Macaca fascicularis: one gene and its partners. The protein of the gene in region 3 purifies or fractionates together with the protein of the main gene of each other region. This does not show direct contact. Links are inferred from orthologs where the notes say so. Each region holds a gene or a part of one and is shown on either strand. Other genes may lie near its edges.

Region 1 (4,243 bases), on a different chromosome or scaffold from region 3:
AAGATCTAGCTGGACAGGGTAGACAAGACTCCAGGGTACAGCCAGGAAAGGGGATCCTCCTGAAGCCTTTGCCTCATCTTAGGCACCTCCTCCTTCAGGAAGGTTTCCTTGATCCTTGCTCCACCCAGGCTGGAGTAGGTATCCTCATGTGCACTTTTCATGGCACTGACTAGTCACACTGGGCAGGGAGCATTTGTCTACTTGTCACAATACATCTGAGCTTTTGGAAAATAAGGATAATGTCTTAATTGTCTTTGTAGCTCAGGGGCCTGGTGCAGAGTAGATACTCAGTTAATGTTTCTTGAGTGCATGACTTGGCTGAATGAATGACAGAGAATGGATTGATTAAAGACAAGAGAGGATGGACTGTAAGCCCCCCAGGATAGGAACCCCGACTGACTTGTGGTGTACTCCCCAGTGCCCAGCACAGTGCCTAGCAGATTCAGTGCCCAAAGTGTTCCAGATATGCTGACCGAGGATCAGATCCCACTTGCCTCAAGACTCTCTACCTGACCACCTCTCTCCTTGCTGCCCCTGGCTAGTACAGAACATCCAGTCCCGCTGCCGCACTAAGCAACACGGAACCGGGTGGCACCTAGACTTGTTCCCTGTCGCTGCAGATGTAGGGTAGTGTCTTTCCCTCCTTCCAAGCTAGTCGCCCAGGGCAGGGTCGCCCTATCTGGCTAGGGTGCTGCACCCTCAGCTGTCGGTATCTTAGGTCAGACGCCCGGAACGCGCAGGCCGTTTCTACCCCTCCGGAAAACAATCTCCGAGCTGCGCCACGACCCCGTCCCTGCGGAGCAGGAGTGAGGAATGGGAAGGTGGGAAGGCGAGCCCGCGACTCTGCTCCCCAACCCCAGCTGGCACGGCTTTTCACGCACCTCTCCCCGCCCGGCCCGATTTCCCCATCCTGGCTCTGGCGCGGTGCTCCTTGCAGCCCCACGCTTTGCAAACTTTGGGAGTTTTACTCCATTTGCGTCACGGAAAAGGCAGGAGGATGACGGAGTCCAGGAAGCGAGGCAGCAGTGGCTGGCAAGCTCCACCGCCGGGCGCTCCAACCACGGGGGCGTGAGGTGTCTCCCGGCGAGGGCAGACAGACGGAGGGAGAGCAGAGGAGGTGGCGGTCCCAGAGACCAGCCCCGGAGGCTCTCGGGCTCCCTCGTTCCCGGGTCGTTTCCTCCCTCTTGCCTCCGGGACTGAGCGAGGGCACTGGCCAGATGGGAAGCCGCGCGGAGGAGTAGGCGGGGGCTCGGCTGCAGCGCCCCGGGCCCGCGGGAGGGCGGAGCTGGCCGTCCCTGCCCCGCCGGGACGCACGGAAGTGCAGCGGAGTTTGCCCGATTCTCCAGCCTGCTTCCCCCTCCCTCCTCCCTCTCCCCACCCCTCACCTCCCCTTTGGCGATCCCCTCCTTCCTCGGGACGCCACCTCCCGGAATCGCGTTTTTGTTTTGGAGCTGCCTTCTCGCTGGCGGCGCGGAGGGTCTGCGAGCGCAGGGGAAGGCAGGCTGGGGGCGCAGCCCGCCCCCCACTGGCCGGGTCCCGCAGGGCGGAGCGGAGGACGGACGGACAGACGGCCAGCCGCGCCATCTGCTCGCCGGAGCTCACTCTCCAAACTCCAAACTGTTGAGTGTGTGCGTGCACGCGAGGGTGGGGGTCGGGGGTCGTAAGTCCCGGGTGAAGAACTGGTTTCTGCTGGGGTTACCTTTGGACGGGGTTCCTGGGATTCAGAGCAGGGTCAGCGTCAGTCTCAGAAACTGCTGAGGAATTAGGCAAACAAAAGAGACCACTCAGCGACTGGCCAGAAGTCGCCCGACCGCCTCGTCGCGCCCCCTCCTTCCTCCGGGGTTGGGACTGGCCACTTCTGGGGCGGGGAGAGGGCGCCCGAGCCGGCGGGGGCTCCGGCTGCGCAGCCGGGGTCGAAGAGTTGGCGGCCTGTTGTGTAAGCCTCAGTCCTTGTTTTCCCGGCCTGGCTCGTTGTGAAGCCGGACACATCCACCCTTGGACTCGATTCAGGCGGCTGCTGCTTTTCTCCTTGCCCCTCTTGGATTTTCCGGATATTTGAAAACCCAGTGGCCCAGGAGCAAGAGGAGGAGGAAGGAGGAAGGGGCAGATCTGCAGAGGAATGTGAGAGCCTCCCAAAGCCAGAGTGGCCAAAAGAATCTGGGAGCCAGAGGGACAGCCGAGCCCTGCCTGGGTTTCTGGAATGGTGGTTTCCGAGTGAGTCTCTTCTATTTTAGAACGTTGTTCCAGTGGAAAGTGTCGAAATTTTCCCCTCGCAGGGCAGATTTCTCCAGGTCACTTGACTTTTCTTCTGGGAGTAGGAGTTAGGAGAGACTCCCCTCTAATCCCCCAGGGGCTGCTAAGGGAGGAGGCTATGGACATGAGCCCTCCCTGCTCACAAGCATATGCCCGGAGACCTGATAGGGCAGTTTCTGGGCCGTGGACATTGCTTTGAAGAGCAGAAGATTGGACAGCATCTGTGGGTGCTGAGACCCCACCTTAGGACCTGAGAGATTGAACTGTGTAAGCGCCATTCAGCTGCGAGTGCATTCTTGGACTTCCTTGTGAGCATCCCGGGTCTGGACAGGACCCTCTCCTTCCCATCTGTCTGTACCACCCAGCCCAACCATGGCACTGAAAGGCCGAGCCCTCTATGACTTTCACAGTGAGAACAAGGAGGAAATCAGCATCCAGCAGGATGAGGACCTGGTCATCTTCAGCGAGATCTCACTGGATGGCTGGCTGCAGGGCCAGAACAGCCGTGGGGAGACAGGGCTCTTTCCTGCCTCTTACGTGGAGATCGTCCGTTCTGGCATCAGCACCAACCATGCTGACTACTCCAGCAGCCCTGCAGGCTCTCCGGGGGCCCACGTGAGCTTGTACAATAGCCCCAGTGTGGCCAACCCAGCTAGGAGTGGTGGGGGCAGTGGCTTCCTCTCAAACCAGGGTAGCTTCGAGGAGGATGATGATGATGATTGGGATGACTGGGACGATGGATGCACAGTGGTGGAGGAGCCACGGGCTGGTGGGCTGGGCACCAATGGGCACCCTCCCCTCAACCTCTCCTACCCTGGTGCCTACCCCAGCCAGCACATGGCCTTCCGGCCCAAGCCACCACTGGAGCGGCAGGACAGCCTGGCATCTGCCAAGCGAGGCAGTGTGGTGGGCCGTAACCTCAACCGTTTCTCATGCTTTGTGCGTTCTGGAGTGGAGGCCTTCATCCTGGGTGATGTGCCCATGATGGCCAAGATCGCTGAGACATACTCCATTGAAATGGGCCCTCGTGGCCCCCAGTGGAAGGCCAACCCCCACCCATTTGCCTGCTCTGTGGAGGACCCCACAAAACAGACCAAGTTCAAGGGCATCAAAAGCTACATCTCCTACAAGCTCACACCCACCCATGCTGCCTCACCTGTCTACCGGCGCTACAAACACTTTGACTGGCTCTATAACCGCCTGCTACACAAGTTCACTGTCATCTCAGTGCCCCACCTGCCTGAGAAGCAGGCCACAGGCCGCTTCGAGGAGGACTTCATTGAAAAGCGGAAGCGGAGACTCATCCTCTGGATGGACCACATGACCAGCCACCCTGTGCTCTCCCAGTACGAAGGCTTCCAGCATTTCCTTAGCTGCCTAGATGACAAGCAGTGGAAGATGGGCAAACGCCGGGCGGAGAAGGATGAGATGGTGGGTGCCAGCTTCCTGCTCACCTTCCAGATCCCCACCGAGCACCAGGACCTGCAGGACGTGGAAGATCGCGTGGACACTTTCAAGGCCTTCAGTAAGAAGATGGATGACAGTGTCCTGCAGCTCAGCACCGTGGCGTCAGAGCTGGTGCGTAAACACGTGGGGGGCTTCCGCAAGGAATTCCAGAAGCTGGGCAGTGCCTTCCAGGCCATCAGTCATTCCTTCCAGATGGACCCCCCTTTTTGCTCTGAGGCCCTCAACAGTGCCATTTCTCACACGGGCCGTACCTATGAAGCCATCGGGGAGATGTTTGCTGAGCAGCCCAAGAATGACCTCTTCCAGATGCTGGACACACTGTCTCTCTACCAGGGCCTGCTCTCTAACTTCCCTGACATCATCCACCTACAGAAAGGTAAGACCCAGTGCAGGCAGGAAACCCATCCTGAGTCTGACTCTCTGCTGGGCCCTGGGGAGATGGGGATGGCCTGGATAGAATGGAGCAACTTATCTTTATTTCTCTGTCTCAATCATTCATTTAACAAATGTGTTGGACTGGGCA
Region 2 (4,159 bases), on a different chromosome or scaffold from region 3:
GAAGATACTATAGCCAAGTTTCTGGTAAATTCAAAGGGAAATGAACATCCCCTAAAATATCCAGATCCTGAATTTACGTTTCATCACTTAATACTTACAGCAACAGCCTGAGTGCCACTGGAGCCATTTATTAAAAATTAGTCATTACTACTAAGCACATTCTCCCCACCCTTGAAGAAGACGAAGAAAAAAAACAGAACTACTCAGGTGTGGGGAAGGGGTGTGTATATGGGGCAAGTGAAAGTAGCAACTTGTCTCTCTGGGGACAATTAAAAAATGAGACTTTGGTTTGACCCAAGTATCACCAGGATGTCAGAAAACTAAGGAAGGGTCTTCTTCTAATAACTGCTTCATTGCTCTTCTTTTTCTTAAAATGGAAATGGTCTGTCACAATGTAGACATGGAAATGAGCACCATGTGGAACAGTGATTAGACAGCGAAAGAAACTAACAGAATTACTGGAATTTGCCTTCGGAGTGGTGTAGATAACGAAGTAGGAAGTGCTTATGCATGTTTTAAGGCTCGTGTTTAAGCAAAGACACATGCAATTCAAGATTAATATACAAGAACCACTTTTCAATTTTTTGAAAAAAAAATTAAGTTCAGGCTTAACTATGAAATAAAAATTTCACTACGTATACCTGCACTAGTTGCTAAACTGCATTCCACTTAAAGGACAGTACAGGTAACATGCCTCAGTAGACCGGAGTGTAAAAACACACAGACCACCACTGGACAGATCTCTATGTCATACACCGCCTTGGTTTTTTTTTTTTTTTCAAACGGAGTCTCCTCGCTCTGTAGCCCAGGCCGGAGTGCGGTGACGCCATCTTGGCTCACTGCAACCTCCGCCTCCCGGGTTCAAGCGATTCTCCTGCCTCGGCCTCCCGGAGCAGCTGGGGCTACAGGCGCGCGCCACCACGCCCAGCTAATTTTTGTATTTTTAGTAGAGACGGAGTTTCACCATATTGGCCAGGCTGTATGGAGCTCCGACCTCAGGTGAACCGCCCACCGCGGCCTCCCAAAGTGCTGGTATTACAGGTGGGAGTGAGCCGCCGCGCCCAGCCTATAAACCGCTGTTAAGGTTGCAAGATGAGCGTGTACTAGGATGTGTAACTGGTAATTTCTGGAGTGTCTGGCAACAAACCTCAAAATCAAATTTCCTTAGAAATCCTTGGCCTAAGTTTTATTTTTAAAAAGGTCAACACAAAATTAATAAGTTCAAAAGGTGGCAAGTTCTATCACATTAATAAAACCAAAGCACAGCACAGGCAATAATATATTAACAAGAAGGTAATTATTTCAGTAACAGCAGCAACAGGTTCCCTGGAGGAGAATCCCCACTTCTCTATAAACGCTGCACCTAGATGGATTCAGAGCACAAAATTTACCACAGGACAACATCTAGCAGACCGAAGTCAAGCAACGCTGATCTTTTAAACAGATTTCACATTTCTTACCATTTCCTACCTTAACACTCCACCAAAAAAAGCAAACACCTATCGAAATATAAAAAATAACGTTTCTAGCAACCCAAAAGTAGCTCAGAGATCTCAAAAAAAAAAAAAAAAATAGGGAAAGGGGTGCTGATGCTAATAAAGTGACACTACAAAAACTAAGTGCAAAAGTAAACCTACTCCTCACAGCGTATCACAGAACAGTTAATGGTTCAGGTACAGAGCCTCCTCCCCCAGGTCCTCCTTCCGCGACCATGACTCCCCAGTGACTATTTTACACCAAGTAACTACTGAAAACGCCCAAGGAAAAGAAGTGGGGGAGGGTGGCTTTTGAAGATTCAGGTAGCAAAGAGTGACTGCTAATTTCATAAACAATAATGCAAAACAAGCAAACCACCGCTCCTAGCCAATTACCAAGCAGGAGTCAAAGTTCCACCACGTAATTCGGGCCTGGGCCTTTTTTAGGCAAACACGTAATCGAAAGCACAGTCATTTCCCTCTTGATATTTTATTCATGCCGGCAATACCATTCACACTGAGAAGGTAGCAAAACAAAAGAAAAAAATAACAGCAGAGAAGGCAGAGGGGCGCGGGGTGTCCCAGCCTCCGTCTCTCCCCGGCCGCGAGCTCCCGCAGGCCGGGACGGGAAGCGCAGCGTCCTCTCTGCTGAGGTCTCGACCCCCACCCGCCCCACGGGGCCGAGGGTCCCCTGGGCGGCAGCGGGAGGGGACGTGGGGGCGGCGGGGACGCCAGACGCCGCGGGGACACCGGACGCCACAGAGAGCCTGTCGCCTCGGGGGCCTCCCCGGGCTGCGGGAAGTTTCCGTCCCGCTCTCGCGGCCCCTCCCGGCGAGCCCGCCGCAGCCCACGCTCAGGTGCAAACTTCCCAAACGTCGCTGCGCCCGGGGTCCCAACCCGCGCCCAGACCCGACGCCCTCCCCCGGCGCGATCCCGGCCGTCTGCACGGTCCGCCGCACCCATGCCCAGAAGGGACTGGCTGGGCCGCGGACCCGCCCGGGGACCCCACCGAGGACGCAGAGTGACCCCTCGGCCACCCCCGGCCCCAACCCTCCCCGCGGCCCCAGCCCCGACCGTCCCCGCGCCGCCGCGGGCCTGAGCGACCGGCCGGGCCTGCGCTGCGCGCCCCTCACCTTGGTGGCCATGGCGGGCGGGTCCCCCGGCCCGGGACGGCCGGCTTGTCTCCCGCGCCGCGGATGGTGATTCTGAGCCGCGCGGACGAAGGCAAGGGCGAGGGCGGCGGCTCCGGCTGGGCCCCGGCGCGGCGGCCGCTCCTGCGCCTCGGCCCCGAGTCTCGACGCTCAGGCCCAGCCGCTGGGCGCTCGGCTACTCCCGCGCCGCCCGCTCCTGCAGTTCCTGAAAGTCCCCGGCTGCGCGGCCCCCGCCCCTGCCGGCCGAGCCTCCCATTTACCGCGGCGCGCGCGGCGCCCGGCGGAAGCGCGCCCTGGGCCCTCGGCCGCGGCCCGGCCTCCTCGCCTCCTGGCCGCCCCCGCGCTGCGCCGCGCCGCGCCGCCGCCCCGGGCAGTCGCTGCCGCCGCCGCCGGGCGCCCTGGGTCGAGGACGGGGGCTGCGTCCCGCGCGGCGGCGGGATCCGGACAGGCGCCCCGGGCCATGGCCCGCACCCTGCGTGGCCGCCCCACGGGAAGCGCTCCGCGGCCCGCACAGCCGCTCGGGGGAGCCGAACCCGACTCCGGTTCACGCTCGGCCAGCGCCGCACGCCGTGGCTCGGGGCTTTCCGTGCATGAGGCGGGCGGGGGGGCAGGAACTCTCGACGCTCCCGGCAGACAGGAGCCCCGCAACCCCGCTGTCTTTGCCCCACGCCGGGGGTGTTGCGGGGTCGCCGTGCCCTTGGCCGAGTACCTTGAGTGCCACGTAAACAGCCGGGAAGGAACGGAGCAATGGCTTCCTGGGCCTCTTTCTCCTGCCCGGAGGCTCCCTCAGGCTGGGGTCCTGGCTTGGAGCCCCTGGGACGGGACGGTGGGGGGTTCGTTTTGTGACGTCCCATTAACCTCATTCTGGAATCTTGATAAGTTTAAAAATGCCCGAGGGCCCAAGAGGTTTAGGGGACAACAGGCTCTCTGAAGTGGAAACGAGGGCTCTAAAATTTTCCATCTTTCTGTCAGTGTTTCTCTCCAGGGTTGGAGATATATATATGGGTGTTATGAATAAACGAATGACTTGAATTGAGCAGCAAGATTTTTCGCTCAAGGACAAAACACAACTGGAAGATGTATCATAATTGGCATATTAGTGGAGTGCTTTTTTATTATGAGGGATATATTTGTAAGAAGAGACAACTATCAAATCTTCAATACTCTGATATTTAGAGTTAATGTCAAGTTTGTGTCTCCTTAAATACATTCTATTTGACCTGAGGTTTCACTAGTTACATTCAATAATGTGGTTTAAAATAGATACGGTATCGCAGAATTTTCTGTGAATTTTTGTGTTTGTTGAGCTCATGGTTAAGCTATAGTCATCATAATATGCATAAATAGTTGTCTTTCTCCATAAAAAAAGATGGAGGCCAATATTCATTGACAGCCTGCTTGCTAATATACTGGGCTTTTACATCCCCATCTCATTTAATCCTTATAAGAAACGTTTGAGAAGCTCATTATTGTCCACTGTTTACAAAGAAGAGCGAATCAGGGCTCACTTAAATAACTTGCGCTTTTGGTAAT
Region 3 (4,216 bases):
CAGTCTGGGTTTTTGTTAACTTTACTAATTTGATGAAAATTGGTGTTCCCTATTTTTAGTTTGCATCTCTTTTCTTATTAGTAAAGTTACTGATTTGATTTCCTTGTGATAATTTAACAATTTCTGGTTCATCTGGGTTGATCTAGAGAAGATAATTGCTTACTGGGGTAGATGGACATGACTCGTCTGGTCATTTGATTTTTAATCACTAAATTGACTCCAGAGAGGAGGTAAAAGATGAATGCTTAGGTACCTATCAGACCAGGCACATTCCACAGGTTTTCAAAATGATCTTATTTGAGACATCCTCCAGAGGCTTTATTTTTCTAGCAAATATTTCCACTCTGCTTGTGTACATATGGACTTTCTAACATTTAAGGATTAGGACACAGACTCAGGGGCCAGAGCTTCCCAACAGTGGCTCCTATAAGAACTTAACAGTCTAGGACAGTAGACAGGCGACTGGGTTGCCTGCAGTAGCCACATCCAGAGAAACTGAAACTTACTTCACTTAATAGATGGCCAGTGCTGCCTTCTTCTTTATTCTGAGTTTCTAAGGATGCGATCTATCTATAGTCTTTGCAGAGGTATCCTGCTTTTCCTCTATTTCTCACTCCATGCTCACTACAGAGAGACAGGAGTTTCCCTACTTCATGAGGCACCAGTCCAGTACCGGAAAGCCCTGTAGGTGACAAGGCATCAAGAGCCTGTGTTCCTTCTAGCCCCAGTTCCATACTAGGGGTCTTGGGCATATTCACCTAATCTGTCTGGCATTTTGTTTCTCTTCCAAAAAAATGAAATGGCTGGACTAGATATTCTAAGCTTCCTTCCAACTCTAAACCTTCAGTGAATCTCATTGTAAATCTAAATCTAAAATTTCAATGAATCTTAGGCTAGTGAAGCACATTGTAAAATCCATCTGTACAGAGCTTGCAAAACTATGCCCTGAAATTTCACGAGATCAGTGTTCCAACATATCGTCTTCTTGCCCTAGCTCCCATACAAAGGATTTTCCTTTGTGATCAAGGGTACCTCATGACTGCCTCTGAAGCTGAACATCCTTTGAATGATGGCTGAAGTCTTCCCTTCAGCTTCTCAGTGACTTCAAGAAAAACCATTCTAATGTACGGAATTGATTAGCCACATTTTAAAAGCTTACATCCTATAAAACATTTTATAAATAAAGTTTCACTGTGATCTCTTTAGAGGCTTTAAAAGAGGAGAGGACGTTTCTCAGAAACATCTGTCTCTGCCTTCACTTCGCCTTCTCTTCCCAGAAGTCATAGCCACTGGCATGTGTGCCAGGACCAGGGTGTCTGTGGAAGGGGACAGGCCTGGAACCACTGCTCAGGGGGCAAAAGTCCACGGTTGTATATGTGTGTCTCTTTCCAAAGTCAAGCGGAAGTGATTTTGAATTGTGTGCCGTGCTCAGCTATATTGATTGTGAGCAATTCAATTCACTTCACATTTTTAAAGCAGCTCAAGGAATCATACTGACCAGAGATTCCGAATTAGCCAGGATTCCTCTCATAGTATACATAAGCCAAAGTGTAGGACAGAATATAAGGCATTCCATTAACATATTTCAGTGCTGAGGATCACCTTTAGGAACTCAATGTACATGTGAAAAAGGACTCACCTATTTGCTTCTCCAAAGATGATGCTGTATGCTTCTGGCTGGTAGACTAGTAAAAGAGAAAGAAAAAAGATGCATAATAAAAATAAAATTATTTAAGCAAAAGAGACAGAATCGTCAAATAAACCAAGCCCTGGAAAGAGAATCCAAATACCTCAGAACTTTTGCTGACTCAGGCTTTGGTCAAGCAATTTTGCTTCACTGTCCCTCAGTTTTGTGATTTGAAATCGTACCAGTATTTTAAGTATTTTCAAGATTTAGTTTGGTCATCTGAACAAATTTACTTCCAAGCAAAACTTAAAAGTTTTGTTTGTTTTTTACTCCTTAAATCACTAGGTATGAGGCAGTAAGTGGTTCAACAGACTGAGTTGACAACTGAGGAAAGAAAAACTGTTGGGCTCTGATTCTTTACAAAATAAAAAATATTCCCTTCACTCCTATGAGCCTCCATTTCTCTGCCTATAGAATAGAATAACTAGAACAACCCATTTCTAAGAAAAAAAAAAAAGGATTGAAAAGCACTTTGCAAGCCAGGCAGTGGGCCCTCCACCCCCTTATGCCTGGTGCCTCCAGGGCACAGCAGTCTGCCAGCAGGCTTACCTCTCGGAGTTCTGCCAGCTCTTTCTGTAAGTGGAAGAGCTGAAACATCCCCAGTCCCAATCCTACCAAGGCAACCAGAACCATGAAAAACATCACAAGGAGACAAAGGCCTGTGCTGTGGTTTCCCCTCTTCTTCAAGGGTGGCAGCGGTAGTGGAGGCAGTGGTGATGGCGGTGGAGGTGGTAGTGGCGGCGGTGGCGGCGGTGGTGGTGGCCTCCTTTGACCAGGCCTTCTGGGCACAGAGGTTGGACAGGGAAGAACTGTGCCTGGAGGGGCCCAGGGAGAGCTGGCACTGCTGTCCACCCAGTAGATCTGGGGATATGGGTAATTGAAGGGCTGCTGCATGGCAGCCGGTGAGTCAGGCCAGCCCCAGCAAACGGTTTTACTTCTCAATCCTGTAGAGGCTGAGGTGTCAAGGACAGGACTCCTGTTGCTGACTGCTCAAGAGGAGGCAAGCTGGATCTCTCTTATAGAGTTTCCATAGCTAAGGGAAACACCTCTGTCTTTCTCTTTCTCTATGTCTCTCTCTGATTCTGCTTCTCAAAGAAACACCCACTCACTTTGCAGCTGAAGCTGAGAAGCCTCAAGAAGCTCAGAGCAAACCCCTGGAAGTTTCCGCCCACAATCTTCTGACGAAAGCCTTGGAAGCCTCAGTTGCTATCGCTGTACTACCCAAACAGGTTGGTAGGCTATGCTCACCTTCCTGGGATCCTGTAGAGCAGGTCAGCATTGGGGTAGAGCCCTGTTGGCGTGAACTGCTCCCAGCTACAGGAGAATGGCCAGTGGGGCTATAATTTTATGAATTATAATTGTATCCTTTTTTATACATTATAATTGTATAATGTTAAGAATTCTACCATGTATACGACCAAAAAACTATTTAAAAATACCAAAATACCTCTAACAAAAATTGTTCAGAACCATATTTTTTAAACTATAAAAATTTTACTGAAATTGGCTCTGAGGGGAGAGACCATGGAGCCATGGCCAGAGAAGTCACTCCCACATTTTAGTTTTTGCAGGAGGAAAACACCTGTTGCCATCATCGCTTCCCCACACACAACTACCATTTACCCTGACCTGCCAATCACCATAATTTACAGGTTAAAAAACCTGCTACACCCTCTTTAGAAATTAGATCAGAGGCTGCAAACAGTGGAACCCACAGAACTGCTTTGTATTTCACAATGTTTTCATTTTCATTGTTTGCCCAGCTTATTTATTTACGTATTTATTTAAATAGAGACAGAGTCTCACTCTGTCACCCAAGCTGGAGTGGAGTGGTGCTATCATAGTTAACTGCAGCCTCAAACTCCTGGGCTCAAGCAATCCTCTTGCCTTGGCCTCCTAAGTAGCTGGGATTATAGGCATGAGTCACTACACCTGACTAATTTATTTATTTATTTATTTTTGTAGAGATGGGGACTCGCTATGTTGCCCAGGCTTGTCTCAAACTCCTAGCTTCAAGACATCCTCCCACCTCAGTTTCCCAAAGTGCTGGAATTACAGTCATGAGCCACTGCACTCAGCCCAATTGACCACTTTTAATATCAATATTAAAAATATTTTAATATATATACATTTTAAATACACATTAAAATACATATTTTTGTTCTGTTTTGCAATATCAGAATATCAGACACCCTCGAGGCCATCTCTGCAAACCCAATCAGTGGGAAGTAGGTAGCAGCTGCTCCTGAGAATGAGCGACAGGTGTTCTGGGTCACCCAGCCTCCGCCAGCGGCCTGTGTCTCACACATCACCTCACCATCTGAAAGGCCTGCCTGGTCCTTGCCGATATTTCTGTGTCCTGTCCCTGTTATGGTTGCCAGATTAAATACATGGTGCCCAGTTAAATTTGAATTTCAGATAAATAATACATAATTTTTAGGACGAGTATGTCTTAAACACGTCCAAACATGGAATACACTAAACAATTATTCATCATATAACTGACATTCAAATTTAACTCTGTGTCCT

The links. Proteins that work in one complex are often made in the same cells at the same time.
Region 1: the proteins of FASLG (region 3) and SNX33 purify together in Homo sapiens (co-immunoprecipitation; 3 studies listed by BioGRID and IntAct, counting the BioPlex papers as one, with this or other methods). This does not show direct contact. The link is inferred for Macaca fascicularis from reciprocal best matches to the Homo sapiens genes FASLG and SNX33.
Region 2: the proteins of FASLG (region 3) and SNX9 purify together in Homo sapiens (co-immunoprecipitation; 3 studies listed by BioGRID and IntAct, with this or other methods). This does not show direct contact. The link is inferred for Macaca fascicularis from reciprocal best matches to the Homo sapiens genes FASLG and SNX9.

What each region holds. Positions count from the first base shown.
Region 1 is NC_088381.1:52,871,567-52,875,809, forward strand, and holds the start of SNX33 (sorting nexin-33), read left to right. Parts: upstream 1-1,434; 5' UTR 1,435-2,625; coding exon 2,626-4,096; intron 4,097-4,243. UniProt on the Homo sapiens protein: Plays a role in the reorganization of the cytoskeleton, endocytosis and cellular vesicle trafficking via its interactions with membranes, WASL, DNM1 and DNM2. Acts both during interphase and at the end of mitotic cell divisions.
Region 2 is NC_088378.1:66,161,073-66,165,231, reverse strand, and holds the start of SNX9 (sorting nexin-9), read right to left. Parts: upstream 2,810-4,159; 5' UTR 2,621-2,809; coding exon 2,609-2,620; intron 1-2,608. UniProt on the Homo sapiens protein: Involved in endocytosis and intracellular vesicle trafficking, both during interphase and at the end of mitosis. Required for efficient progress through mitosis and cytokinesis. Required for normal formation of the cleavage furrow at the end of mitosis.
Region 3 is NC_088375.1:30,264,098-30,268,313, reverse strand, and holds the start of FASLG (tumor necrosis factor ligand superfamily member 6), read right to left. Parts: upstream 2,802-4,216; 5' UTR 2,582-2,801; coding exon 2,237-2,581; intron 1,686-2,236; coding exon 1,640-1,685; intron 1-1,639. UniProt on the Homo sapiens protein: Cytokine that binds to TNFRSF6/FAS, a receptor that transduces the apoptotic signal into cells. Involved in cytotoxic T-cell-mediated apoptosis, natural killer cell-mediated apoptosis and in T-cell development.